Linked DNA regions of Struthio camelus. The protein of the gene in region 1 purifies or fractionates together with the protein of each later gene. This does not show direct contact. Links are inferred from orthologs where the notes say so. Each region holds a gene or a part of one and is shown in the gene's direction. Other genes may lie near its edges.

Region 1 (7,032 bases):
TTGCTTTTTTAAAGTTTTTAGAGAGACTTTTAGTACACATCTAATGCCCAATGCCCTTATTGATTGCTGGTGATTCTTCTTGGAAATTGTATTTGATTTCACTGTCAAAGAGAACAAGAGAAAAAAATTTATTTTATAACAAATTCATTGGAAGTGTATCCTCTCTAACTTGTGCTGTGTGACTTATGGAACGGGAATGTGCAGTTAATCTGGCAGGTTTACAAGAGGAGACAGGAATATATGCTGGCATGCACCATCCCAAAGTTCACAGTTTAGGGAAAAAAGATAACTATTCTCGAGGAAAATGCTGCATTGTTGCTTGCTTTGTCCTTTCAAGAGAGTCAGTGCACAGAGCATTGTGCTGAGCTCCATCATCCAACATGGTCAAAGCTCATGAGATCCTGTGAAGGGCAGGTTAAACCTAAACTTTACTCAGTCTTCCCATCCACTGTTATTAAACTAGGCCCCTTCACTGCTTCTCTGATGGTTTCTGACCTGGACTGAGCCAATTTGTATTGGAAGCTTCAAAAAGTTAGTCTGAAGTTGCCAAACAGCCACCAGAGTTACAAGTCTTTATAATAGATCAGGGGAACTGCTTGTCACACTGAGCAGAGAGAGCAGAGAGAAACACAAATTTTAAGATGTGCTTAATTTAGCATTCTGGGGATACATGTGTATATGTATAGATGATCTACAATGTGTGCATTTTTTATATATATATGTTTATATATTTAGTGTAAATAGCATTGCACTGTGACTTCAGGCCCAGCTGTTTTTAAAATACTTTTAATATTGGAAATACTGACTATACTGAACACGATCATAGTTATCTAGAGAGAAAGCTCAAAAATAAAGCATGATAGTAAATATCCTGTCCTTTGCAACATATATCAGAAGTGTTGCTATTTCAAGGATCTCTCTGCACCTATATAACTGTGTAATGGGAGGGTACTAATAGTGTGTATTTCTAATTAAGTCAAAATTTTCATGGCAGAGTTTAAAGCACTGGGGCCCTACATTCATGCTTTAGGCATGTCTGTAGAAGTGGCTTCACTTCCACTAGTCTGTGTTTTTCTTACCTCTTCAGTTCTTGAGCCCTGCCAGCCCAGCACGTCATCCCTGTCCCGTGTTACTGCTCCAAACCATTTTTAGCCATTTTTTTCTGGCTGAAGTTCAATAGGAAGCTGTTGTCTCCCAGCTCCCTGCACTGAGCCAGGAGAGCCAGCGCTGCCTGCTTGGCAGGAACCGTGTGTACCCTTACCCCCGAGTCGCTGTCCCTCTCCAGCCCCACTGCCCTCCGGAGGCTCTGGGGCCTCTGGTAGCCAGAAGGTGATATTGCAGCCTCTTGGTCAGCCCTGCTGTGCTGGCAGGCCCTAAGTGAACAGCCACAAACTCCACCAGCTGGGAGAGCTGCGGCTGCTGTTTCAACGCAGAGAAGACTTTGTGATTGGGGGCCGGTCGGTCATCTCTGATGCAGACCTTTTCCTTAACGGGAAGAAAAAGTGAATTCTTAAAAAGATTATTAACGAAAGTCCCGTAGGTCAGCTATCTTCCCCTACATAAATAGGGAATCAGATATCCTGCCTCTGAGCAGCTGCGTGATTTTGGGAGAGCTCCTTCCTCTCTCTATACCTGTTATTGCGGCTGCATCTTCCAGATATTCTTAAGTTCCAAATAGTGAATAAAGCCTTTTGTAGCAACCATGTCCTTGTTGCCGTTCAGCAATGGTTAGAGGCATAGAAATGTCCTGTGAAATAGATACCAGTTTGGTAAGCAGTAGGTATTGTCAAATCTCTGTGCTTTGGAGCTTACCTGTATAAAAATGCCACAATTCAGCTGGTTCTTTTTAAGTGCAGATTTTTAAAAAAATGCAATAGAAGGGATCAAGGTCGCAGTGTTGTCTGGCAGCAGCGGCGTGGAGGCTGGTCTCTAGCTGAAGATGGTGCATGTTCACTGTGTTCAGTGTCAGTTGCTGTAACGCTGCTGGGCAATTTCACGGATCGCAGGTGCGGACAGGGTTTGCAGGCTGTCTGGCTTCTTGTGGAGAAACCGCTTGACGTCCTCTTGCCGCCTACCTCGATGGCATCTATCAAAGAGGACACAGACTTCGGGGCTCAATACCAGCAAGGGTTATGGCTGTAGCTGGGAGGAGAGGAACGCGATCTGGCACTTGCAGAAAGCTTGAGTTTTACCTGGGCTATTTGTCAGGGTCTCCTCTCCTGCTCGTTCCCTGCCTCACTTCATCTATTTGAAAACACAGGTAAGAATATGAAGGCAAAAGTAAGGCTGTTTGGCATAATTTAGTGCTCCCTCTAGATTAGATTCCCTGCTTCTCTAATGCTTAGTTTGGATTTTTATTTTAAACGTTTGGTGCTCAAGAATTGCATTTATGGTATCGTGCAACAAAAAGTTACTGTGACCTGGCTTAGTAGTAATCGTGGAACCAGTGCAATGTCTCAGGACATCATAACTGGAGTATTTTCAGTATGTTTGTGCAATATTTGCTTCTAAGTTATTGCAGGATTTTCTTAAGAGCGCTTCTAATTCCCATAAAGCGTAGCAACTTGAGAGAGGACTCGAATAAACTAGCAGACGTGTTGAAAGACACAAACCAAAGGATTTCTTCATATCAGTTTTGGTTCTGGTTCTGCCATGCGGACATGGGCAGATTCTGTCTCCTGGGGAGATTCACTGCATAAAATATTCTGTTAAATCTTGCCAAAATCACCAAGGGCGCTGCTTTTTGCTTAACATTCAAGCTAAAATTGTTTGAATTCAGCATGGATTAAAAATTAAATTGCTTTACTGGTACTGAAAAAATATGGTGTCTCAGTAGCTCATTTTGTTTTAAAAGTTGTAGTTTTTTTTTTTTCCCTAGAAAATTTCCAAACTGGCAAGACTATAACAGTGTCAAATTGTTGTGGTAATGTCAAATTTTAGGGATCAAGATGTAATTACGGAAAAATAAATGCTGATGCACATAAAGGAGCCATCAGGATGCTTACATTTAGTAGCATTATTGTTAGTAAAGTACTTGATGTTTTTGAAGCAAACTAATAGGGCTGTCCTTAGCAGCATATGGAAGACGCTGTGGCTGTCAAACGTCTGTATGCCCATTCAGAAACGTTACCTAGTAGTAGCCTTGGGTCTTACTGCATCCATGCCAAGCTTTAAGGAAAAACTCCGCTTCCGACACAGAAACCTGCACTGAGAACGGAAACCCAGCGTAGGAAGAAGCCCCCTGCCTCTCTGGTGCTTTGATTACCTGAAGACCTTTAGCCACAACTAACTGCTCACCTGGAGGAAATTGCTTTTGAACACAGCTCAGAGTTTAAAATTCAGTATGAGATCTCAGAGCCTGGACTGAGCGGTGTGAAAGCTTGACATCCATTTTCCTTTTCGACCCCAGGTAGTAAAAAGTACGAAATACGAAGGTAACGCTCTCTCGCTTGACCCAGGAGCCCGGGGAAGCTGGAGGTACAGCGCTGCTCACCTTCCGTGTCAGTACTGCCACCCATGTCCTGCTGAGGACCAAACCGCTCGTTACATCCCCAAAGCACTACAATTATATTGGTCTTCAGCGGCGGCTTTGTAGCCCACCAATGAGTATAGGGCAGGTTTTATCCGGGCAGCTGAAGGAGTGAGTTTTTGGCGCTCACAAGCAAATGTTACGTCTTTATGTCCTCAACATTCATATGCTTCTACAGCTGCGTGTTTCCAAGGATTTTAATTCTTTTCAAAAAAAAAAAAAGGGCAACGCTCTGCTACATGTTTTCACCTGAGACCTGTTCACCTGTGTGGCAGCCGCGGGCCCCGCTCAAGCGCTCCTGTATTTTACTCTTCCCGCGGTTGCGGCGGGGGGCGGCGGGGCTGCCCGCCCCGGGGCGGGTTTCCCTCAGCGGCCGCCGCCCACCGACGCGCGGCGCGGAAGGGCCGCGAGCAGCCGGCGACCGTTGGGCCGGCTGACGGCGGGCCGTCACCATGGCAACCGCTCCCGCGGCGGGAAACCTTTGCGCCTGCGCGGGGAAGGCGCGGCCCAGGCCGAGCGCGCGTGCGCAAGCCGCCCGGGAAGGGGGGGTCGGGGAGACGGTTGGCGCGCGGCGCATGCGCTTCGCCTCAGTGTCGGCGCTCCCCGCCGTTGTGGCAGGGCGCGAGGAGCGGAGGGAGCCCGTGGCCCGGCGGAGAGGTCAGCGCCGGGCGGCGGGCCGGGGGCGGCTGTGGCGGCGGGCCGAGCGGGCGCGGCGGCACCGGGCGCTCCGCCCTGTCAGCGGCGGCCGCGCGGGCCGCGCCTCTGTGGGGCCGGCGGCGGGCGGGCGGTTGGCGTGACGTCACTCCGCCGCCGCCGCCATCGGCGCTCCCCGGCGCGGCGCCACCTGCCGGCGGGGAGGCGGCGGCGCCGCGGCCTGCGAGAGAGGGCGAGGTGCGGAGCTGGGTCGCCGCGGGCCCCTCGGGCCTGGACAGGGCGAGGCGCTGCCGGCGGGGGCGGCATGGGCCCCGCGCCTGCACCCGCCCCGGGCGCTTCCAGCCGGGCCGCGGGGCCCTGACGCCTTGGGGGAGGCTGCTTCGCGGGCCGCGGGGTCGGACTCCGAAGGGCAGCTCCTTGCTGCGCTGCGGCCGCCCCGTGGGGCGAAGCCTCAGCCCTTGGCGTCACCTGCCGTCAAAAGCAAACAAGAGTTGGGGGTCAAGCGGAGCCGAAGTTGTTCAATGGAGGGCCGGATAAGGCGGGTGCGCCGTCGGCGGCGGCCCTGCGCCAAGGTGTGCCTGATGTCAGCCGGCTGGGTGTTCCAGGCAAACTCCCCGCGCCACGCTGAGCGCGGCGGTAACGTCCAGGGCTGCTGGGGAGATCCAGTAAAAACTGAAACAACCGTCAACGATTCTGTTGGCTGCTTCGTGAAGCAATAAAGAATTGTATCTATCGCTTCCAGGCCCAAGGGGCCTGGGGCAAAAGGGCCCACCTTGAGCGGAAACAGGCAGTGCTGGCTGTTCTAATGGCAGGACTGTGCCCCTGATCCTGCAGATGTGCAGGTGCACATCTAGTAGCCATGATGATCTTAAATAAAGCAGAAATTGTGCATTTGCAGGGCTAAAATATTTCTTATTTGTAATAAATAGTTTGATGCTAGTAATGCCCGAAGGCAACAACTTTAATTCATGCTCAGTCTACTGGCTGCTGTATAAACTCAAAAATCGTAGGCTGGGTACAGTCGCTGCTCTAATTACAAAAAGATCCTGGTTTGGTTAGCTTTCACATCTCCTTCAGATCCTACTCCTCATCTCCCTCCTGGTCCGTCCCCTCCCCTTTGGTTTGGCTGTTTGGCTTGAAACAGTTTTCTCTGTATCTAGGAAATGTTATATTGCTTTGCACTGTGGGGATGTGTCAGCAGCAGATTGGAAACAGAAACAAAAGAAATTTTATCATAAGCTTTACATTCGGAAGAAAACGGACCTCAAGTTCTTCTGAGCGTTTGCTTTTCCCACTGGCTCAATTTTTGTTAAAGCTTTTTCCAAAGGAGGTGTCAAATGGTAGAAAATAGCAATTTAAACAGGATATTTGACACTTTATTGTGCGCTCGTGAACCTCCAACTATGCTTCGGGGTCCTCAATTGTGTTTAAGGCCCTTCCTCAGAGTTTCTAGAAAGAATTTTCCTGAAAGCTAAACATAGAGGAACTGACTTAGTAGTCTGTGAGCTGACCTCTTGCTCTTATTAGTAGGCTACGGAACAGACACATTTATGCATCCCTGAGATTATTGGTGTGATAACCAGAGGTTCCTGGAGTGCTCATATCAAGTTTGTAGGTAATGATATATTTATATATTGAGGATGTCAAGGACTTAAGTTAGTAAAAGGAAAAAGTAGTTTAATGTAAAGACATGTAAAAATCTATTCTGAGAACTGTAAACCAAGCCTATCTACTTCCAATATACTTTGTTAGTATGGAGAACAGGTATGATAGGGCAGAATCAGCTTAAAGCAATTTACCTACAAGATACTATGTTATGTATTTTACTGTAGCTCTTATATATTATTTTAGCTGGGAAGAGAGCAAATTATACATTACTGTAAATTAATTAAATGTTAGTGTAAAAGACCTAGGTTTAGTCTGCCTGTGGAAATCTGTGATGAATTTGGTCACCTTTCAAAGCAGGTATCTTACTGTTGTGGAGAATGCGGAAAAATCAAAATACTGTGTTAAATTTCACTATATGTTTGGCTTTTGTGATGACATAGATTTTGACATAATCTAAAATCAGAAGATAAACTTTTTGAAAACTATTGATAGAATGTACATTGTTTTAAGTAACCATCCCCTTCAGTATTTAATGCCCTTTAGAATAACACTGCACTCTTGAAAAGAAATGGCTTGCATATTTAACAATAAAATCTTCTTATTTCTCTTTATAGTCACTTCCTCACTGATTATTCAGTTGATCTCTTTCCACAAACATCTGTAACTCTTGATTGCTGTGTTCTTGATCATTCTTTATCCTACCAAATGATGGAATCCTCTGAAATGATCAAAATTGTTGCTGTCTGAGTTGGGTCAGAAACCTGGGGTAAGGTAACAGTGTGGTCACTCGTGATGGAGTAGGTAAGGCTTTTTTCTTTGTGCCGAAAGGGCAGTTGGAAAGAAAGTCTTTCCTAAGCTATGTGCTGCTAATGCTGCGTTATCTGTAGGTAACCTCTCTGGTTTGTGAATGAATTGTGCTACAGGTTCACTGTAGCAATGCCGCTGCTGTTTTCACTAGTGCCAAGCAGGAAACACAACCTTTTGGCTGCTCTACTTACCAAGGTGGCCACAGAATCAGATACGGACCCTCCCATTAGTCTGATGTCAGGGCTCTTAACTCCTTTGTAGTTACTGGATAGACTTGCCTATCCTGTGAGTATGGCCTGTGCTCCTGTTCCTAAAATATGACTTTGTATTGAGATTTATATTGCATGCCTGTGCTAGTTTGTCACGCGGTGTGCGTTGTTCTGCCTCAGTCTGTCATCAACGCTGTCTAGCAGGTCCCTTGTTCGTGTCATCAG
Region 2 (7,930 bases), on another chromosome or scaffold:
ATAAAGACACCCAAAAATGGGCAGAATGTGAAAAGTTTGCAGCAGTGCTACCAAAGTATTAGAAGTTGGCTTTTGTGTGGCTGGCGTTTTCAGTTCCTGATTCCCAGTGAGTTCCAAATTCCCTCAGCGCTGGAAGCAGCTTCTTTGCAAAGGTAAGATACTGTTCACAAGCTGATTTAAGCGAATAAAAAAAAAGAAAATAAAAACACCTTAGCTCTCTGAGAGGCCATATCTCCTGCCTTCTACTGAGTTTCCACCATTCCACTTAACCTCAAATTTAGGAAAGAAAGACTGCATCATTTTTGAAACATGTCTGACTCTTGCTAAAGGGAACCTAGGTGTTTAATCCTAGATTTTGCTTTCTTGTATAGGTTGGCCATCAGAAATTTGAGTGTTGAAATACCAGGTCTAGACTTCTTTTTTACTTTTTTTTTTTTTTTAATATGACTAATTTCTGAGAGGAGTTTTTCTAGTGTATTTGCTTATTTCCACATTTCCTTATGCCCAAATTACTTTTCAGGCTTAGATTAGTTTGTGACAGATACGGTATTCTAGGAAACAGATTTTTGTCACCAAACAGTAGCAGCTGTAGTAGTTCGCTACCTTTCATGTTTTTTGCAACATAGAAAATATCAAAGCTAAGTTTTCCATGGGTTGCCGGCTTCTTTTCTTGTAAAAGTGATAGGTAGTTTTCTCATTCCCTGTTGTTATTAGGTTTCTTTTTGATCTCTGAGTTTCTGATCTTTTTTCATCTCTGACAGATCTGTGATTTTCCTGATGGACACATTAGGCATATTCTTTTTGTTGTTTTACAGATTGGTTTACAGCTTTTATGTCTTCTGTATTTCCTTTGCCTCCTGTGTACTGCCAGTGAAGAAGATGATGTAGTCAGAAAATTGGCTTACTCGCATGCAGTGGAAATTGAATCAAGGACAATTTTCCTTGCACATCTTTTTGTCTTCCGTAGTTTTGTAAACTGGATTTGGAGAGTAATTTTTGTCTGCCAAAGCTCCTTTTTCACTGCAGTAGCATATTTGTTGCAATAGTAGTGTTCTGGGTGGCAAAGTTAGGCTAAGAAAGTCTTGTGATGCCAGAATAATATCAGCTGGTTCATCCCCATGTCTTGTTTGTTTTCAAGAGGGACATGAGCGTATGGTGGGGAGGTAATGTTCTGGTATGTTTTTTTGCAACTCTTATTCGTATCATCGCTACTGTAAGAATTAGTGATAAAACATTAACAGTCCAAATATTGTCCTTGAGTTCACAAGCCTGCAGCAACCTTGTGAGTCATGTGCCGCGTGCTTCCAGGAACATAGGAGCTTGCCTATGCTCCTATGTATGTCATTTTCTGGGCTGGATATGGTAAACTACCTTGCATGCTATCATTCTGAGCTTTTGCTAACCATATTCCAAGGTAGAGGTCATTCAGTGTAAATATTTTAAAAGTTTATTTAATATCGCTGGTGCTGTTGCAGGAGCTCTTAGTTGATGGTATACTCCACAGCAAATTAAGATTTGGTTGTTATTTCTCTGCCACTGTTTTTCCTATTTTTCCTTTTTTTTCTTTTTGGTTCAGGGGGAAAGCTAGGGATTATTATTAAAGCTCTGATACTAAACTTTTATTAAAATAAAATAAAAAACACAAGCTCTGAAATGTCGCTGTTAATTTGGAAGCAAGTTTTTTTTTTTTTTTTTTTTTTAAGAGAATCTGAAGAGTCATAGTTACCCAGGTTTTGTAGTATTTTGACAGATGTTTTATGTATTTTATTTGATTTTCACTTTTGCATGATGCACCTTCCGTGGAGTTCTTGAATGCTAGTAATATGATGTTGTGCACCATATAAGAAGCTGAAGAGTTCAGTTGGTTTTCACTTTGCTGGCTGCCATTTTGTTTTAGCTTCTATTGCAACCTAGTTCTAGCGACTGCTATTTCAAGCATTACTAGGTTTTTATTTTCTACTAAGATTCTTACAGTAGTTCTACTAGGTTTACTTCTACTTCCACTTTACTACCACTGTGAACTGAAACAGAGCAAATGATGTGATATTCCAAGTGGTCCAGAGCACCGTTCCCTACTTTGTTTTTCTGGAAATTGTTGTCAATAAAGTTGACAGAGTTTACTCAAATAACAAAGTTTCTAGGACTATTTTGTGTGAGGGAGAATGCTAGTTTATGTGGCAGAAAGCATGGCATGGCATCCCACCTTCTGTGTGTGTTGCTCTTATTTGAAAACTTGATTTACTTTGTATTACTCTCTGCTTACTCTTACTGTGTAGCTGATGTGGTACAATAGATGTGAATCCTCTGTTTCTAAGCTTTTCAGAGCATAGTGGAAGCATTAATTTTTATTATATTAAATTTCATTTTCAGTAGTTACTTGTAGAATAACTCAGTTCAAAATCATTTGTATCTGGTTACAGTAATATACTTTGTTACATAAAAGAGACAGATAAGAAGCTAGTTTACTTCTCACTGTGATCTTTTTACTATTTCTGTTTCTTACTGCTTGGATATTGACGTTATATATAGGCAAATCATTGAAATCGTTGGGAGTTTTCTCTGAGCCAGGATGTGGGATTGTGGTCTTGCTGCTTTCACGTTTTCATGTAGTTGTTTTCAGATGTCATGTCTCAACACTTAGGTGTTTAGGATGGGAAAAACTGCACACAAGTAATTGTTTAGTTCAAAACTATTGCTGGTCAGTTTTCAGATCAAAATTATCTCTGCTATGCTATGCAGTTCTTCAGTGGTTCTTTATCCTGTTTCACAATTTTTTGAAGTTAAATAGGGATAATGACTGCATTTTGAAATATTTAAGTGTAGTTCGTGGCAGAGACCTTGCTGACCTGACTTATATTCTGAATTTTTGACATCTCTGTCAGAGTGATTTGCAGTAACTTGACGTATGCAGTGACAAACTGGAATGTGTTTCTCCATTTATATTCTTTTCCTGTACTATCTCTTACCAAATTGTCCCGACTTCTCTAGCTTATTAAGAAACTAATTCTTTAGAAGGTTTTAGAACATAAAAGGCAACTTTGTTGTCCGTGTGCTTTCTGTTGCAGTTCATATATCACAGGCAGCAGCTACAAGAGCTTGCCTGCTTCCTTGGTTTTGAAGCTTGAGCTGTGTGTTTGGGTACTCGTTCTTCTGCCAGCGTACTGAGACCCTTGTTCACCTGATTTTCTCTCCAGTCTAGGTCCCTTCCTTGTCTGTTGCCTTTGGTCCCATACTGTGTGAAAACAGTATACATCTTAACCTTTTATTCCCTATTTTTCAAAGGTATAAAAATGGTGCCATCAGCCCATTCCATGTCTCTTCTGAATCCTAACTCTTTGGCGTTAGCTGGAAAATTTTTTACCTATTCTTCCCGCTCAGCAACTGTATTATGTTTTGACAAATGAATATTTAGCTCCCATTATTGTGGAGAGAGATGATCTTCCCCTAGTAGTTTCAGTGCTGTGTCCCTAACTGCGTTGTAAGTTGGGAAAAAGGCAATTAAAAAACTGAAATCTGTTTAGAAGGTGACTAGAGCTATGATTTGAATTGCAAGCCTACTTAAAACCTGTGGACATTTGAGGGAGGCTATTGTTCATCTAAAAAAGTTCTTAGTGATTAACAATATTGATAAAATCTGTAAATCTAACTGTCCCCTGGAGAGTAGAACAGATTTCAAGATCCAGGAATTATGTTAATTGTGGAGTCTCTTAATAGTAGGAGTTTCTGGAACTTTTCTCTCATACCCAGTGAAGGGCATGTTTAGCTTTCAGGGTGAATGGATTCTTCCTAAGCTAACTGGAGTGGTCTGAGGCAGGGCCAGGATCTGTGCAGCTGGGTACCCCTTAGTCAGTAACTCAAATTAAGCAATCTAAACACTGGAATAAGAAGGAGAAGCGGATGTCTGAAATTTGTTTTCTTTTTGTACAGAGAAAAGAATGCTTGGGTCACTTTTCTGTTATATGTATAATAGTATAAAATTTAAATAAATAAATATACTAGGTAGATCTTCTGTCAAAAAGCTGACCGGAAACAATAGTTTCAAAAGAAAAAAAACCCTCTGCTTTGTTTTTGAACTTGTTCAAACTCTGATGCAGCTGGTTATCAGAACTGCAAGTAGGGAATGGTTTTCTTAATTCTGAAATTAGCAACATCAAGCAGCAGTAAGCAAAGTTCCTGTTAAGAGAGCATGATGGAGGAAGTTATTTCTATAGGGCCGGTGAGGTGCATGCAATAGGACATAGACAGGCTGCTTGTAGGCTCCCGAGATTAATAAGGATGGAGTTTCCATGAGGTAGGAGGGACTGAGCTTCACTGAGAATGAAAGGTTTGAGGACTCTGTTGAACAGAGCAAGTATTATTTCATATGCTAATTTTTTTTTTTTAAACAAGTAGCTCCAGGATTTTTATTTTTCCATCTCTGTGTGTATGTGTTTTTCTTTCCCTCTTTTCTTCCTTATTCTTTTTTTCTTTGAGCTATGCAAAGGAATTTTAGCTGAAAGCTATTACTTTGAAAGAGAAACCAGGCTGGAACCATACAGATAGGGGCCAGAGAATGAGACAGTAGTTAGGGTAATTTTCCAAGTTCAGTTTGCTGCTCTCCCAAAGGCTTCTTGTGGGTGAGTAAGGTTAGTTTGTCTGTGTCTCGGTACTGGTGTGAAAAATAGTTCTGTATTCTTTTTCAGGTGTTGGATGCTCTGTACCTGAATGGTAATGAAGCTCATTAAAAGAAAACAAGATAGGTCGCTATGCAATTCTCTTTATGTAAGAGTTTTCCTTGGCGGAGTATAAGGTGTGAAAAGCAGCAGTACTCACAAAATCAACTAGTTTTTTTTTTAGTATTGACAAGATGAAAAATATCCTTGTCGCTTGGCATAGAGATCTGAGTTCTTTCTTGTGCTGATCATTTTTAATTGATATTTTTATAGGACCAGTTTACATTGAACTATCATGGCATCTAGCAAATTTGTCATTAAGGTAAGTAGAATTTTGTAACTTTCATTTAAAAAAAAATCCTGATAATAATACTAAGTAGAGTATTTATACATGGATTTTAAAAGTTAATGAAGACGAGATGCATCCTTTAGACTTCTGGTCATGGTAGCATAATTCATTTCAGTTTTCCTCTCTCTTGGGAAGCAAACTCTTTCAAGCACTGCTATATCATGGCAGAGTGTGTTTGGGGTCCTTTCAGCTGAAGATTAAATAGTCACAAGTACCTAATAGTGATTAGTTTTATAGTTAGAACTAGTAACTGCATGAATTCTCAATAAAACAGCATTACCTACCTGAACTGAAATTTAGTGTTGATTCTTCTCATACTGTAATTTTGCGGTTATTCATCTTTTCCCCAGATAATCCAAGAGTTCCTGATTTAAAGGGTAATAATATTCTTAAACTCTTTATCACTCTTGACTCTTCATTTGCATCTTAGTTCATCTTTTTCCCCATTTTCAGGCATTAGACATCTTACTAACATCCAGTAACGTGCTTTTGCAGTTTATTTTGCAAACAGTCTCTAACATTTGGGTATATATCTGAAGAGTAATGCTTTTCAAAACATTCTGTAATAAACATTCTGCCTTAACTTGTTCAGCTCACTAGTAACTAAACCACAGAGCAAGTTTTCCTGTAAAAATTATGCAACCTTCTCTTTTGGACCCTCTTTTCTGTTTCTGTTTATCTGTTTGGGGTAGTGCAATGCCTGCATTTCTAGGTGATTAGAGCAATACAGTACTCTTGGAAATGGTTTTCCCAAGAATTTTCTTCACAGAAGAGACTGTAGAATCACAGAATGGCCAAGGTTGGAAGGGACCTCTGGAGATATCTAGTCCAACCCCCCTGCTCAAGCAGGAACACCTAGAGCACATTGCACAGGATTGCATCCAGGCGGGTTTTGAATATCTGCAGGGAAGGTGACAACCTCCCTGGGCAACCTGTTCCAGTGCTCTGTCACCCTCACAGTGAAGAAGTTTTTCCTCATGTTCAGACGGAACTGCCTGTGTTTGTTTGTGCCTGTTGCTTTTCATCCTATTGCTGGGCACCACGGAGGAGAGACTGGCCCCATCCTCTTGACACCCTCCCTTCAGATACTTGTACACATTTATGAGATCCCCCTCAGTCTTCTCTTCTGCAGGCTGAACAGGCCCAGCTCCCTCACCCTTTCCTTCAGAGGAGAGATGCTCCAGTCCCCTCAGCATCTTTGTAGCCCTCCGCTGGACTCTCTCCAGGAGTGCCATGTCTCTTGTAGTGGGGAGCCCAGAACTGGACACAGTACTCCAGGTGAGGCCTCACCAGGGCTGAGTAGAGGGGCAGGATCACCTCCCTCGACCTGCTGGCGATGCTCTTCCTCGTGCACCCCAGGAGACCATTGGCCTTCTTGGCCACAAGGGCACATGGCTGGCTCATGCTTACCTTGTTGTCCACCAGCACTCCCAGGTCCTTCTCGGCAGAGTTACTTTCCAGCAGGTCAGCCCCCAGCCTGTACTGGTGCATGGGATTATTTCTCCCTTGGTGCAGGACCCTGCGCTTGACTTTGTTGAACTTCAGGAGGTTCCCCTCCGCCCACCTCTCCAGCCTGTCCAGGTCCCTCTGAATGGCAGCACAGCCCTCTGGGGTATCAGCCACTCCCCCCAGTTTAGTATCATCAGCAGACTTGCTGAGGGTGCACTCTGTCCCTTCCTCCAGGTCATTGAGGAATATATTGAACAAGACTGGGCCCAGGACTGAGCCCTGGGGGACACCACTAGCCACAGGCCTCCAACTTGACTCTGCGCTATTCACCACAACCCTCTGAGCTCGGCCATCCAGCCACTTCTCAATCCACCTCACTGTCCACTCATCCAGCCCACACTTCCTGAGCTTACCTAGGAGGATGTGATGGGAGACAGTGTCAAAAGCCTTGCTGAAGTCCAGGCAGACAACATCCACTGCTCTGCCCTCATCTACCCAGCCAGTCATCCCATCCGAGAAGGCTATCAGGTTGGTCAAGCATGATTCCCCTTTGGTAAATTTGTGCTGACTCCTGATCACCTTCTTGTCCTGCACATGCTTAGTGATGACCTCCAGGAGGAGCTGTTCCATCACCTTTCCCGGGATGGAGGTGAGGCTGACAGGCCTGTAGTTTCCTGGCTCCTCCTTCTTGCCCTTTTGGAAGGCTGGAGTGAGAATGGCTTTCTTCCAGTCCTCAGGCACCTCTCCTGATCTCCAGGACCTTTCCAAGATGATGGAGAGTGGCCTAGCGATAACATCCGCCAGCTCCCTCAGCACTCGTGGTGCATCCCATCAGGGCCCGTGGTCTTGTGGATGTCAAGTTTGCACAAATGATCTCTAACCCGATCTTCCTCGACCAAGGGAGAGTCTTCCTTTCTCCAGACTTTCTGTCTTGTCTCCAAGGTCTGGAATTCCTGAGGGCTGGTCTTAGCAGTACAGACTGAAGCAAAGAAGGCATTCAGCAGCTCTTCCTCCTCTGTATCCTTCATCACCAGGGCACCCAACCCATTCAGCAGCGGGCCCACAATTTACCTAGTCTTCCTTTTGCTATTGATATATTTGAGAAGCCACAGGAACCACAGGAAGTTCCATCTGAACCTGAGAAAAAACTTCTTCGCTGTGAGGGTGACAGAGCATTGGAACAGGTTGCCCAGAGAGGTGGTGGAGTCTCCTTCCCTGGAGATATTCAAAAGCCGTCTGGATGTGATCCTGGGCAATATGTTCTAGGTGACCCTGCTTGAACAGGGGGGTTGGACTAGATGATCTCCAGAGGTCCCTTCCAACCTAAACGATTCTGTGATTCTGTGAAGCCCTTCTTGTTGTCCTGGACATCCCTTGCCAGATTTAATTCCAAATGGGCCTGAGCTTTCCTGGTTGCATCCCTGCATACTCTGACAGTGCCCTTATATTCCTCCCAAGTGGCCTGTCCCCTTTTCCACAT
Region 3 (7,466 bases), on another chromosome or scaffold:
AAAAGACAAACAAACCAGTTTACAAGAGTATATACATGCAAACTGTTAAGGGTGGCTCGTCTATTAATTTTGAAGAACAGAAATGTCTTTTGGAACCAAAGAAAGAAAAATCACGACCTGATAGAGAAAACTATCTCCTCAATACACAACACATCCCCAAATCAGAGACCCATAGTAATCCTCCTTGTGTTTCATTATAGGAGACAGTCGTCTAGGGCAACAGTTCACAAAGGAAGATTTGCAGGCTGTGGCTGTTACAAGAAGGGTTACAGGCATGGCAGAACCACACTTCTTTATATTATTATTTGTGGCTCTAAGTCTTGCACAAGTAGGGCTTCCAAGAAGAAACATTTGGGAAAAAATTAATCTAGTGACTAACGAAATAAGGTTGAAGGATGACAAACACCTAGTCTAAAAGGAAAAGCACGGATTGCCATATATTACTCTAATACAACAGTGTAGGTATGGCAATAGTGCAGCCATGAGACCTTCCAGTACCATTTGCAGTCTCAAGAAGCTAGGAGAAGCTGACTTAGTTGGCATGAAATAATAAAAATCCCACATAGGGCAGCAATTAACCCTCCTCAAATTATTAAATAACAGTCGAGAATGGAGATAAAGACGGTCATTGTCAAGCAAGAAAGCTATCTGAGCCCAGCCTGAAGTAACTGCAACTGAGAAAGAGAAACCAGTGATAACAACATCAGCACTAAATCAGGAAAATGTTTCCCTAAGGCAAGGGAAACAACAGAGTTATTCTGAACGTTTCCTCTTTGGTATCTATCATGTGCATCTGCGAAACGAGGCCAAACTGTGCAAAGGATCTGGATCATGAGGAAGAGGAGGAGATGTATTAATTTAGTCACTTAAAAGTGTAAAGCAAGCTAGGAATTCAGGTCACCACAGAGTCTGCTCAGTTAGAACTGGTCAAGGTTGTACAAAAAAAGTTAGCAGTGCAAAACGAGATAACTGACTGAGGAACAACAACTGGTAAAGAATAGAAAATTTTGAGCACGTGAAGCTGTGTCTAGTTCTGGCTTCAACCATGATTTGTCACGTGGCTTTCACCAAGTCACTAATCTCATCTGCTTCAGTTTCCTCATCATAAAATGGGTATTTCATTATCCACCTAATAACAGGATGATTGTGATTAAAATTTGAGTGCCAAAGAGAAAGCAGTTTTACTTCATGTATTTCCCAACAGTAAAAAGACAGCAGGGCTCGGGATTATCTGGATTCAAAGGAATCAAATAATTATATGGTCAAACAAAAGTTTTAGATGGTTACCATGGGAACCATTACATGTCCTCAGAAGGACAATGAATGGCAACTTAATCCTCTTGTATCTAAAAGGAGAAAAATGCATGAATAGCAGTGGTCTCACGGTTGGTCACCGCTGCTCTTCAATGTATTCGGTCCTGTTCCTCAAGATTCTTGCTTGTCAAGGAGGAGAAATCCTGCATGGGTGCCCCCCCCCCCCCAAACAAAAGTGAAAATTACTCTCCTTGTACTTCTGCATTCTACAAGCTTTCTACTTACAGGATTCTCTGCGTAGTGAGGTTCAGCCACTCACACATCCACTTCCCTACAGAGTTTTAGGATTATCTTCTGCAAGATTTTTCTTTTGTACATTTTTTCCTTATAGACATGTTTTACTTTCTGTTGCCCACTTCAAATGAAAACTAGTTCATCCAAGATCTTCACCATCTACTAATGTGAGAAAGCACTGTGTGGAACCTCTGGTAGGCTGCACTGCCTATAGGACGGATCAGCATGAAGAAGCCATTAATGGTACAGGGACTGGCCTGTCATTATCCTCCATGCCACTCCAAAAATTCTCCTCTTTCCCCTCCTTTTCCCTCCCCAAACCCATGGCTTATACAATCGCAGGTTTTATCCTAGGGAGCTAAATCCCAGAATGAGAACCCAGGAATGAGAATGATGTCCGTACGTGTATGTGACAACAATGTTCTGGCTTTAGTAAACCTCTAACATTCTCTTCCAACTTGAATGAGGAATAAATCTTTCTCTTTAAACTTACAAGATTTTGTTTGCTCTCTTCCCAGTTTTTAGAAGAAATTGGTGAAGCAATGATAAAAACAGACTGGATGATGCTGGCACTGCAGACTTGGTCAAGTAAGGTAAATGGTGCAGAGAAATAACCCTCCAGAGCGATAAACAGCACTCAGCCAGTGCTGAGTCATATCTTTCCCTGGACAATAGCGCACCTGCTGAATCATATTCCTTTTTGGGTTTGGGAACTTTCCAACTCTTCTCCCTCTAAGGTAACACTGCTTAAATCAACGTTACTTAAATAGTAGTGAAAATAATCTGATTTTACACAACATTTATATTCCTCTTCAAAGCATGAAACATACATTTACAGGGAACAATGACAGAAAAGGCAGGGAATATTCAATAGGTTTATGGCCAGTTTTAAACCTTTATTCTCCATTACAAATACCTTATCCCACACCTTCACAGCATCCCATCAGTTCCTACAAACTCATTTCTTTTGCAGTTTAGTCTTGTATGACTGGTATCAAGTGAAAGAGTTAATACGTTCAGAGATATGAACAAAATCGCTTGTTACATTTTGTGTTGAGCACAGTGAAGAACAAAAGGAGTAACTCAAAATCAAATGACACCAAAAGACTGTATTTTAACGCTCTCAAACCGTAAAAAAACAAGGACTGTTTGAATGACTTTTCTGCAATTATTCAAAATCAAGTCTGACATATCAAACAACCTTAGACGTTCTGTCCTTAGCAACATTTTCCTTAGGCATTCTTCAATTACAGATGCCCCACTCCACAAACAACTGTCTTTTCTCACAGACATACAAGAATATAGAAAACTTATTATGCCTGAGGTATAGCGACCCATATTAATAGAGTACTCCCAATCACACCTTATTAAGTTCAGCTTTGTATTGCAAGAGCTGGAAAACTGAGGCTTATAAACCACAGAACAACTGCTAGCACCCAACTCCAGTGTGCTTTGTTGTACTTCTGTAGCCTACTAGCTACAATTCAAAACAGCTTACAGACAGACAAGTTCAGCTCGGGGAGATTCAAGACTGGTAACCAAAAGAGCAGGATATGTAAGCTTCGCTATCTGAATTCTTGGAAGACACAGAATATACCAGAAGTTTGAGATCAGATGGCACAATACACTCACATTTAAGGTCACATTTTTTCTTCTCTTGAAATATTAGAATACTTCTACATACAGACATTACCCCTTGCAACTTGGTAAGGGCATTTGTAAAGTTTCAGTAATACGACGCTACATCCTGTTTTACACTTATATAGTAACCATCTAACAGCGTAGGAACTTGAAATGACTTACAGGGAGATGTGGTGTGTGATAAAAGATTTTCTTCTACCTTCTTCCTTATATAATTGCGTAAAATATGATTTTGCAAAATTTTGTGATCCAGGCAAACCACGTCCATTTATTCAAATAGTTGGATGGCTTGCTAGAATCTTACAAGCACTGGCTCATCCATCATTCCAGAACGGTTCAGAATTCATTACAGTCACATAGGGGTGGAACCCACCCTTAGTCTGAGCAATTGAAATTCCAGCACAGCCATTCCAGGCCACATGCACTGACATAAAGACAGGAAACTGAAGGCTGAAAGGAAAGCAGAGAACGAAGGAGCAGGACATTCATCCCTAACGATACCCATCAGAATTCAGATACCCATCAGAATTCACTACTGTTTGCGATGCAGAGACTGCAAGGCGCAATATAATGAAATAAAACCCCTTGTACTGAGAGCATGGAGAGTTTCAACACAGAATCCCGTAGGAGTCTGCGTTCTCCCTGTAGGCACTACCACCGGAGGGTGGCAGACAGGCGGCATAAAGCAGAACGGTGTGCTGGAGAGAAAAACTGGTCAAGGAGATGACCTCCTACATAGGCCCCCTGGCCTTTCATGAAAGAGAGGGAGAGAAATCCGGCCTCAACCAGCTACCGTGAAGGAGCACTCAGACGCTTAGGGGGAACCCAGCAGGTTTAAAAAAGCATGAGAAACGTCACCGTTTTGCTGCTTTTTGCAAGCAAACGGTCTATCTACCGCCTCTTTGCGGCCAGGCTTCCCGCACTAGGACGGAAAGGAGAAGCAGCTGGGGGGCCCGAAGCGCTTCCCGACTTTCCCGCTGCCATCACGCAGCTCCCGCTGCGGAGCGGCCCCCCGGCCCCGGCTCCTGCCCGGGACCTGCTCCGTACTGCCGGCCTCAGGCAGGGCCTAACCTGGCCCCACAGCCCCGCCGCCGCGCACGGGGTGGGGGGGGTGAGAGGGAGGTCGCCAGCCCCCTGCCAGCGCCGCCGCGCGGGCGGCACCGCGAGCGGCGGCAAACGGGCCCCGCCGCCACAGCCGGGGCCTACCGGGCCCCGCCGCTCGCCGCCCCGTTCCCGTGGCAACGCCGCAAGCCTCGCGAGAGCGGGCGCGGCGGAAGTGACGCGGCGGAAGGAGCCCGGGCACGTGACGCAGGCGCGGGGATTCTGAACGGTGGCGCGCGAGGTGAGGCTGCGGCGGCGCCCGCGTCCCCATGGCAACCGGGGGGAGCGGCGGGGGGGGGTCTCGGCGGCGCGGGCAGGGCCGAGGGAGGCTCCGCCGGTGCCACCGGGGCGCCCGGGTGCCGGAGGGTGGGCGCAGCGAGGGGCGCTGTCAGGGAAGCGGCCCTGTCCTGGGAAGGGCCTGTGAGGGCCGCGGGGAAGCACCGGGGTCCGGCCCCCCCGGGGAACGTGAACGTGGCGGCCGGGTCCTCCGGTGAGCCCGCTGCGCCGGGCCCCTGCGCGCCCCGCCCGGGCTGCGGAGCGGATTTGCTGCTAACGTGTTAGAGGCCCCGATTTTGTGAGGGGGAGACGGGCCATTTCGGGCGCTTGTTATGCAAACGAGCATCCGGCTCATTGCTCGAGGCGCTGTCGGGCGCGCGGGCTCCTCCTAGCGTCGTGTTACTGCAGATCACGCGCATGCCCTTAGTTTCAGGTGCCTTGCGGAAAACATGCCTAAGGTTACTCTAAATGGCATCACCGTGGATTTTCCTTTCCAACCGTACAAGTGCCAGGAAGCGTACATGGCCAAAGTGCTCGAGTGTCTGCAGAAGGTGAGTGCTGGGAGGTGCCGGCGGCGTGCTGCTCCTTGCAGCCAAGGGGCTCTGGCGCAGCAGTTTTTCCTCTGCTAAAATTTAATTCTTGACTGTGTTACAAGTCAGATCTACAGCAGCTTAGTTCCTAGGTGTATCTTAGTTCATTTACTACGCGTATCTCATTTCTAGCTGTGAAAAGGGGTTCCTTAAAAAAGGAGTCATGATTCAAGTTTACTTCTTGTTGTCTGTATACTGCCTTTTTCAATTTTTTCTGATTTTATTTGTAATTTTATTTTAGTATACAGTTATTAAAAACCCAGAAATGGGCAAGTGTTGTATCTCTCAGTAGAAATGAGGACAGGCTATTTCTGCCTAATGTGGGAAAAGGAAGAAAAATTAAGGAAGTAGTTCTTATGTTCGTGCACTCTATCCTTAGAAGTTTTGCTTTTGTATTGTTAGTGAATTGTACTATTAGTGTAAGTTGCCCTTCTAGCTACGATAATGTAATCTTACTGAATGAATGTCAAATAAGGAATGGTTTTTACAATAGTTATTTTTGTTCTGGAATTGGTAAACACGATCTCCAAGGTCCTTGCTTCTTCTGAGAGATGAAACAGAAGCTTAGGCTTTCCATGATAGCTCAGCATTCCTCAGGATCATAGGCAAGGGCTTGGTCCTTCTCATGTGGTAGTAAAACTTATATAAGCCTGTTACATGAATAAATTCTTTTAGTGTGCTTACCATGATTTGTCTCAGCTGTGCAAGCTCACCTGTTATTTATAATGCAGTTTGTGAAAACACTTGGAAATTGGAATGTCCAGTAGAGCTAGATATTTAGAAATGGACCTGCTTGCCAAACTTTCTGCTGAAACTATGTCTAGATTTTGTGATGCAGGATATAGTCATCGTTCTAGGGAAAATAAGCATTCTATAATCTAAGAATCAATTTCTATTTTTTGGAGTAATTTCTAATATTTGTGTGCCTTTTATGCTGAAATGTGATGCATTCTATTTAGCAGAGGCATTTTCCATCCTTATAGTAAATAAAGGATAACAGTTGTCTCTGGATTTTAGCCTGAGTTTCACTGAGCTGATTAGAGGTCACAGGTCTTGCATGTAAAAACTTTGTGGGGTATGTGTTTCTGTCATATGGTATACTTTCCTGCATAGTGAATTCTCTTTTACTGGGAAAATGCTGTACTGCACGATGATCTATTCTAGTTGAATATCCAATATACTCATTTTTTTCATTCTATTTCTTTTCAATAAAGAAGGTAAATGGCATTCTGGAGAGCCCTACAGGCACAGGAAAGACACTGTGCCTTCTGTGTTCCACTCTGGCTTGGCGGGAACACTTTAAAGATACTATTTCAGCCCGCAAAATTGCACAACGTATGAACGGAGTGGAGCTCTTTCCTGACAGACCCATGTCATCCTGGGGCAATGCTGCTGTGGATGCTGATGTCCCAGGTAAGTACGTTTTATCGCTCCCACTGAGCATAAAATCAGGAATGTTAATGAACGCTTTTGACTTTACCTATCTCTTACAATGAGTATATAGTCATAAAAGCTATGGAAGCATTGTTTGGCAGCTGAAGCACAATTTCGTACTATTTCATAGGTTTTTAAAGGTGTCTTATGTATTTTTAATTTTCTTAGAACATTAGAAATCTCTTTAGCTCATTTCTTTTGTGTGAGTAGTTAGATGATAAAATTTCTTGCTGCCTCTATAAAACAAATTGTTACAATGGCACCACAGGGAAGGGAGACTAATGATATCTTTAGTTCTTTCTCTGCTAATAATTTTTTTTTTCCTCTCTATGTAACAGCTTATTACACTGACGTTCCTAAAATAATTTATGCCTCCAGAACTCACTCACAACTTACGCAAGTCATTAATGAATTAAAGAACACAGTCTACAGGTAAATATGATTATGATACTGCTTCTATCCCAAGAAAAAGGGGAGGAACCCAGCTATTTCAATAAGTATTTGAATTTGTGTGGATGAATGTATAAAACAATTGATACCGACTGAAATGCAGTTCTCTTAATGTGCATGTATAGAACCTGGATTTCTTTGATTTTTTTTTTTTTTTTTTTTGTGATCCCCCCCCCCCCACCCCCAATAGTTCACAGCTTTTCTTTTCTTATCATCTCCTTCTATCTTAGAATTTTCTGAATTCACTCTGGTTCTGGTTCTCCACTTATATTTACTTCTGAAATTCCAGGTGGGAGGAAGCGCGGAGGATTTTTTTTTTTTCCCCTATCTCCTTAAATCCTATAAGCTTTTTCTGAACTTGAGACAAAAGAATTCATTAGATTGCTGTGGGTTTTTTGGCTCGGGGAGAGTAAATTTTTCCAGTTT
Region 4 (7,646 bases), on another chromosome or scaffold:
GATGACATCAGTGTTTCCTTTAAGAAGGCCAGCAGTAAGTCCACAGTATATGTCTGAATACACTTGGATCAAACATTTCCTTTTCTCCTCTTTTTCTCTTTCTCTCTCTCTTTCTCTGTTTCTTTCTCTTTCTCTCTCTCCTGTCTCTCTCCTTTGCTCTCTCTCTCTTTTTCTTTCTTTCCTCTCTTTCTATCTTTCACTGATAAATTTACAGCTACAATTGTTACACTGGAAAGATGACACATGGTGAGTAAATGTGCCTGGGGTCATGGAAAAGGCTTTTCAAAAAGACATTTCTTCATTTCAAAAGTCCTTTTATTACTCTAATTGTTTTATTAAAAAAAAAAAAGGCTCAAAGTTCATTGATTTCACTTGCCAGTTGTGGGCTAGAGACCTGCCCTTGCTCTCCCTGCGGCTGGCGGTAAAACATCCAAGCACTGACTCATCCCTGCCGCGATCCAGGTCCCATACCGAAAACAGAAGTTCTTCGTATTCCCCCTGTAGTGAGATTAACCCCGAGGGCTGCCTCTGCTCCTGCTGTTTCCCTGCAAGGCCCTTACTGACTTTGTTTCGCTTTGTCCTGGATACAGCACAGTTAAGAGCCGTATTTCTGTAGTTCATCCAGTTACATCACTGGGCACCTTGCTGGAAGGTATCTCCGCATCCAGCCGTAGAAATGGCATAACACCGCTGGGAATCATCCGAGTATCGGACCTGTGGCATCAATAGCACAGGCATCTACTCTTTTAGCTAACAGAATAATTCCATTAGCGAGCCCCATCAGTACGCCGTTATCCTCTTAGGTGGATTTTCTGCTCATAGATGGAGCACAACACAATAAAACTGGATTAGAACAGTGGCAAGATTAATATAAAAAAACAAAGAGCCAAATGTTAAACATTATTGATGTAACTAAGGCAAGACTGCATGTTCAAGCTAGTGGTAACACTTCAACATATTGTTTTTAGAGTATTTTTTTAAAACTTAATTGAGTTATATGCTTTACAAAACAGTAAAAATAATCTAATTGAAAATAACATCTTTGGACTTACAGCACATGAGCTAAAATAATCTCAAAAGACTTTTGCATATAAAGTGTATAGTAGCTCTTAAAGTAAGGAAAAATAAGCTGCAGAATGTGAGCGTTTGCACAGGAAGTTTCTGATGGTGAAGTGTTATCACAGTAGAACGACATCCAAAACGCAGCTCTGAGGCAAACAATCAATATTATGCATTTTCATTCTGTTGCACAGTGAGATTGCCCAGATGTTCAGCAGATTTTTGCTGAGGGAACAGTTCTGAAAACTGCTTAACAACAGTTTCAAACTTTTCTGGCAGTGGGCTGGGTTGGGTGTAGGCTGCTGCTGTGGCTGTGCGCGCGGCAGACTGGCCTCCGTCTGTCCTGGCATTTTGACCTCAAGCGCTGGACATTTTGTGAGGGCTCCAATCAATGCACCTTTGATAGCACTGAGATTGCAGAATGAACCCCTGTGATTTCAGACTTTAGTTCAAGTACTTTAGAGATTTTTAAGGAACTGTAACATTTGTCCCATCCAGCTTCAGCCTGCCCCTGTCCCCACACGGCTCGATGGTATCTCACGCAGTTTTAACATGCGCAGGCCCCTTGCTCAGGCTCCCCTCTTCCATCAGGTGTTAGATATTAAAGATGGCAACTGGGATTCTGGTTAGGTGGTAGGCTGCAGGGGAAGAGGCAGGATAAAAACGAGTGTTACTGGGGATAAAAGGGAAAGGGCATTGTGGGGAAAAAAGCATTAGAAGTATTTTGCAGGAAGCTAGGAGACTGACGTGTGGTGAAAAAGAACAGTGGGGTTTATAAGAATTGCATGAGAATTTTTGCAAGTAAACATCTTCCTTCTGGGCTCTTAACAAGAAAGAACATGTACAGTACAAATACAGTACACCTCTATGCTAAGGGCTAATACTTCCAAGATTAAACTGAAGGAAAATGATCTAATTTAAATTTTAAAGCTGTATGAGAAGAAAGTGAATGCGGAATACCTTAAATACGGATAATGAGGCAGGCCAAAAAAGGTGTGTTGGGAGAGCTCATCTGTAGTAACAGTATCTCCGGTTCATTTGTCTGACCTGCGGGGGCCACTATTGATCTTCAAACCGTCCAAGAGTCAGAGGACCTGAAATATAGTTTCTTATTCTGCACTTTACATGTGTGAGGCAGAGACACAAAGTGGCGGACAAGGGAAAGACATTCAAGCTGGAAACGCTGGAAAGGGGTTTAACTCCTTTAGCGGCAAGACCATTTTCTTTTGGGCCGGCACAATGTCCTCGCAGTTCTCCTGTTAAGTCCCTCAGAACGATGACGCACGTTAGCACCAAGACTAAGCAGAATGAATTTATGCATGGTTGGGGGAAGGAAGTGAATCTATTTTCGGTTATTCTGGATTCACTCACACTGACTGAGATCTTGCTGTTGGAAGCTGTGTAACTAGCTGGCATGTTAGTGGAATACTACAAACAGTGCAGTTTGTAGCGTGGGGAATGTGGATAGGGAGGAAAAGCTTGAACAGGCGGACAGGAACGATAAGAACGCACAATTAAGTATGCGAAGTCTGGACAACAGAATCTGTAAAATCTGCCAGCATCCTGAGACTCAGATTGAGTAGCATTTTTCTCACCTTATGCAAACCACTGAGTTTAACAGGCAGAAGTCTGTGCTGAATTTTGGGAGATAGATCAGAAGAAAAGAGCTGTATTCTGCTTATCTTTCCCTGAGGCTTCTGTGTTTTTCAGCTTGCAAATAAATTCCTACAAAGCTATAAAGGATTGCTCAAGAGATCATTTGAAATTTAGCACTGAAATCACATTTATAGTAAGTTCTGGCTAAGTAACAGGAACGTGGCATGGCATGAAAGAGAAGAGTATGCATTCCTGAAACCTACTGAGCAATCCCCTGTGATAGATAGTAGGAGACTGTAATTTCCTAAGACAAACGTGAGGCTGAAGGGTGTTAAGACTCTGGCTTTGGATTTACAGTGTCAATTTATAATGTGGTTTGTCTCATAAAATGGTACTAAATTTGAGGGCATAAACAAAACTGAAGTTAGTTCCTCTTTACAACCCCTTCCCCAAACTGATGTATTTTTCATTTTTCATTTTAATGGTCTCAGATCTCAGTTTCTGACAGATCTTCCGGGAGACAAGACTTGTCTGTCTGCATAGAAAAGGGAGAAGATCCTGCTGAGGCTACTAGCTGGAAAGTCTGCCACCGCTAATAGAATATTTTCCATAGATGTTTTATTGACACAGTACTTGAGTGCTTGCTGCATAAAAATCAATACCCATAGCAGACTGTGAACTGGAGAGAAAAACTGGGGCTGTTTCTTTTGGAACTCTGCTTTGTTAGAGAGGTATTTTTGGGGGGGAAGAATGCAGAAGGAACTGCTGGTAAAGATGAAGGCTTGACAGATGTATCAGTCTGACCGCAAAAATTTAAATCTTTCTTTTTCCTGATCCAGAGGACATAAGAAAAAATGCACATATGCAGAAATACGTGGTTGGAGTAAGGTAAATTAACCTGTACGGAGAGTCATGCAGTTATGGACAGACTTTACTAGTACCCAAGCACGTTAATTTAAAGGCAGCTCAGGTAATTTTGAGTCATTAATTTTAACCATTAACAAATTTTTCCTTCGACCCCTACTTTTGTCTTCTGTGTTTTTTTAAGTTTAGACAGCATCCGCCTTTGAAGAGTTGTGTACTTTTGAATGCGGCAGTACCACTGGATCCTGACCCGGACCTGCTTTGGTGCTCACTCCATCCTCCAGGTCAAAAGAGCATATTACTAGTGACCTGCAGATGATTACTTTTCCAGTTTAACCACACTGTTTCCTCTACGTAACGCAATAGCGAGGGAGCTAAGCGGAGCTCTTGCTCCCAAGAGGAGGCTCCTTGTGAAGCGACGGGTTGCTGTTGGTGGTAGGAGCGGTGCTTTAGGCGGGAGAGGACTGCCCGGCTGCTGGCAGAGCACAGCTAATTCCTCCTACGCGGGGACGGCTACGAGCTCCGGGGCAAGCTAGCTCCACTCCGTGCAAACCAGCTGAGCGACGACTGCTGCTGCTTCCGAAAACCCTCGATCGTGGTTTCCAACACCAGGAGCTCTGGCCTTGTAACTAAATAGCAAGCATGTTTTTCCTGATGAAAGTTGCAATCGCCTGTTCGTACCGAGCAGCGCTCGCGCCGGCAACGGTAAATCAAGGCGGTTAAAGGAGGCCAAGCCGGAGACGGTGGCTCTAGCCAGGCCTCCGCATGAGGCCCTCGAGGGCAGCGGGGGGCAGCCCGCCCCCCGGGCCCCTCTCAGCTGCGCCTCTCGCTTGGGCTTCACCCCCTTCAACACCCTGGGGGTAAGCGGTGTGAGCACCCTCACACTGGGCCACCAGTAGCCCGGCCGGAGCAGGAACCAGTTTGCACCGGGCCGAACGGGACCGGGCCTCCAGCTGGGGCCTCCACCGCCCGTCCGACGCCGTGGCGCAGACCCCCGCCCGCCCGGCCGCGGCGGGGCGCTGCGCGGAGGAAGTTTGCCCCGCGCGGCTCCCCGTCGGGGGCGGGGCTGGGCGCGCTCGCGCTGCGGCTCGCGCGGCGCCGGGGCTGAGGTGAGGGCCGGCGGCCGCCGCCCGCGCCATGTCGTTCCGCCGCGCCCTGGCGCTGGCCGCCTGCGGGCTGGCCGGCGGCTCCGTGCTCTTCTCCGCCGTGGCCGTGGCCAAGCAGCCGGCCCGCGGCGGCGGCGGCGATGCCGAGCCGCGGCCGGGGAGCGCCGTGCCCGCCGCCACCACCGCCGTGCCCGCCGCCCCCGCGGCGCCGCCGGGTTTGCTGCTGCTGCCGCCGCCGCCGCCCGCCGCCGCCTCCTGCCCGCCGGCCCCCGGCTGGATCGAGAGGCCCGCGGGCACCGGCGGCTTCTGGGACAGCAACTGGGACAGGTGGGCGCCGGGGGCGCGGCGGCGGCGGGGCCTGCTCGGGTCGGTCGCAAGCGTGGAGCCTCCGGCTTCACCGGTTTTTTACACGAGTGACCGTTCGGCAGCCGCTGCCGCCCTCGAGAGGGTCAAGAACATACACTGAAGTCGAGTGTGTGTGGGGGGGGGAGTGCAGCTGAATATCGGGAAGCTGGCAACTGCCTGGTAGTTTGGGGAGAGGAAGGCGGTGCCTGAGGGACTGGGGGTCGGCGGGTGCTTTGCCAAGAGTTTGGGAGGCCTCTCGTTTAGCAGGGAGGCCCTTCGCTCGCCCCCCGAAAGCCGCCGGACGCGCCCCGGCCCGGCGGAGCGAGGCGGCGGGGCTGCCCCGGCCGAGCGCGGGCCGTGAGCTGCTGCAGCGCGGCTGAGACCGCTGAGCCTAGCCCTGGTTAGGCAGGGGAGTGCTCGGGAGGAAGGTCTTCCCCGTGTTTTCGTTTGGACGGTTCAGAGGCTTCCCCCCCCGTTTGAAAAAAAAAAAAAACCGCGCAGATAAAAGAATTACGATAAAGCTATGTCATGAGATTGCAAAGCCTTAGTGCTTGTGCTTATCAAAACCCAAGTGTTCAGAAGGCTTATCTACTTTTTTTTTAACCCAGTGTCAACCTTATTTCAGAGTTGCTTCGTTTCTGCACAAAGGTGTTTCTTTTTAATAGCAACCTCCTTGCGGACTGTTTTTACATACTAGGCATGTAGGAGGCCTGCTAGTTATGTTGACCCTGGCACTGCAAGTAAGTATGAGTAATGTTGCTTTGAGCTGTAATTTGATTATGTTCTTAATAGTGTTGTCTGTGTTCACGCAAGGGTTAACTCTCTCTTCTGATTCTGCACTTAGGATGTGCAAATTTTCTATATTGAGCTTTGGCTTATTCAGCTTCTGGCTGGTAGAATTATCTCCCCAGGGAGACTTATGTCAGGCTCCTATTTAATCATAGTAAATCCAAACTTAAGCACTAACAGATTTCTATTGTATAATGCATCCTGATTTGATTTTTGAGATGCAACAGAATCAAATACACATATAAGTAGGGCTCTGTGTGCCCTAATTATGAAAATCATAGTGACTTTCATTAAATATGGTTATTTCTAGTTAAATGGGTACTAAAACTACTTACTTAATTGTAGATCCTGGTTCTGCTAAATAGTTGGCTTGCTGTAAGGGCAGGTGAACTTTCAGACCTTTTTCTGGTATCTCAATACTCCTGATACAGGGAGTAGAGATTGTGCTATAGCTGATGTAGCTGTCAGAACTGCTTAAACAAATACCAGCTAGAAGACATTTAACAGTACAGTTAATGATAGAGTACTGCATCACCATTCATTACAGTGTACAATAATGGCTGTATATTACACAAATATATTAGTGCAGAGCAAGTTTAGTTTTGTACTATATGATGTCCACCAATTGGTGTGGTACCGCTTGGTACCACCATTTGCTTTATCTGCTTGAAACCTTCTTAGCTCCACTTCTTGTGTGAGGTTTGCAGCAACATTTATAGGTAAATTTGTTAAATACCTAGGCTTATAAATATGTGAACATCTGACCATTTCTCTTTTGGAAAAAAAAATGACAAAGTCAATTCATGAGCAGATAACTGGCTATTATAATATTCTTGTAACAGTTCAGAAAGTTTGAAGTTTTAAGCAGCACAATGCAGCAGTGTCTGCTTTCAAACTTTCTGTTAACCTGATATACTATATCAAAGATGTTGCATTGGTCTGTGCCACTTGTGCAAGAATTGCACAGCTCAGTTTTTGAAGACTAGATAGTTTCATTTCCTGCAAAACACTTAATCTGAAAGCTATTCTAATTAGTTTTCTATTAAATAGAAAGCTTGAAGTGAAGGAAAAAAGCCTTGAATTATTGTCTTAAGTTTCTGTGCTTTGGATGACTTCCTTTATTTTTTGAATGGTCCTTCAAAATAGCTTTATGAGATCTAGAAATACCTGGATTTCTACATATGCTACACACACAAATTGAAAAAACTGTCAGGACGACTGATATGTTTCAGTGACTTGCAGGGCTTCCTGGAGAAGAGGAATTGGGTGTAATCAGGTCTAAAGAGAGACCCTGGCATTGCCATTATGTTTCAGCAAAGTTGTGTCCTGCTACAAACTTAGATGAACTTTGTTAGGGGAATGCAGAAAACCACATTTGTTGGCCTCTGAACTTCAGAGGCCTAAAAACCTATTTAAGATAAGCTTCAGCAGTATTACAAATTTTCCTGCACGTAACTTTCTAAAACTGTTTTATGCTAAAAATCCTGTTAAGCTTAGTTCTCTTCTCAGGGCTTGTTAAAATATCTGCTGCTCTTCACAGCATGTGTTACCATCAAGTAAATTCAGACCTACTGGTGGAGGAGAGAGGGGAGGACCTTGACTGAGGCATTTCTTGTCATGGGTTTATGCCGTAGGATGGATAAATCTCCGCTTTGCTTTAGAAATCCACTTGAATTTTTCGGATATTCTTTCTGTTTTTCTAAGGTATCTTCCTAACAGTATAGTTTCTAATGAATAAAAAAAAGTATTCTGTGTAATTTTAATGGAACTTCGTATTATAGGACTGTTGCTTCATTTTTTAATGCTTTGTATGAAAGTTCTTAACAAAGACCTTTCTTAACAGTTTAATGAACATGTTGAGCCTCTTAGTCAAATAGAAATCATGTA

The links.
Region 2: the proteins of SLX4 (region 1) and SLX4IP purify together in Homo sapiens (affinity purification with mass spectrometry; 6 studies listed by BioGRID and IntAct, with this or other methods). This does not show direct contact. The link is inferred for Struthio camelus from reciprocal best matches to the Homo sapiens genes SLX4 and SLX4IP.
Region 3: the proteins of SLX4 (region 1) and RTEL1 purify together in Homo sapiens (affinity purification with mass spectrometry; 3 studies listed by BioGRID, with this or other methods). This does not show direct contact. The link is inferred for Struthio camelus from reciprocal best matches to the Homo sapiens genes SLX4 and RTEL1.
Region 4: the proteins of SLX4 (region 1) and PGAM5 purify together in Homo sapiens (affinity purification with mass spectrometry; 4 studies listed by BioGRID and IntAct, with this or other methods). This does not show direct contact. The link is inferred for Struthio camelus from reciprocal best matches to the Homo sapiens genes SLX4 and PGAM5.

The regions. Positions count from the first base shown.
Region 1 is NC_090956.1:18,640,884-18,647,915, forward strand, and holds the start of SLX4 (structure-specific endonuclease subunit SLX4), read left to right. Parts: upstream 1-4,031; 5' UTR 4,032-4,186; intron 4,187-5,710; exon of another isoform or gene 5,711-7,032. UniProt on the Homo sapiens protein: Regulatory subunit that interacts with and increases the activity of different structure-specific endonucleases.
Region 2 is NC_090944.1:129,058,785-129,066,714, reverse strand, and holds the start of SLX4IP (protein SLX4IP), read left to right. Parts: upstream 1-4,925; 5' UTR 4,926-4,947; coding exon of another isoform or gene 4,948-4,974; intron 4,975-5,351; exon of another isoform or gene 5,352-5,378; intron 5,379-7,930.
Region 3 is NC_090959.1:18,012,961-18,020,426, reverse strand, and holds the start of RTEL1 (regulator of telomere elongation helicase 1), read left to right. Parts: upstream 1-4,464; 5' UTR 4,465-4,531; intron 4,532-4,993; 5' UTR 4,994-5,015; coding exon 5,016-5,117; intron 5,118-6,370; coding exon 6,371-6,569; intron 6,570-6,928; coding exon 6,929-7,022; intron 7,023-7,466. UniProt on the Homo sapiens protein: A probable ATP-dependent DNA helicase implicated in telomere-length regulation, DNA repair and the maintenance of genomic stability. Acts as an anti-recombinase to counteract toxic recombination and limit crossover during meiosis.
Region 4 is NC_090958.1:11,689,505-11,697,150, forward strand, and holds the start of PGAM5 (serine/threonine-protein phosphatase PGAM5, mitochondrial), read left to right. Parts: upstream 1-4,627; 5' UTR 4,628-4,656; coding exon 4,657-4,952; intron 4,953-7,646. UniProt on the Homo sapiens protein: Mitochondrial serine/threonine phosphatase that dephosphorylates various substrates and thus plays a role in different biological processes including cellular senescence or mitophagy. Modulates cellular senescence by regulating mitochondrial dynamics.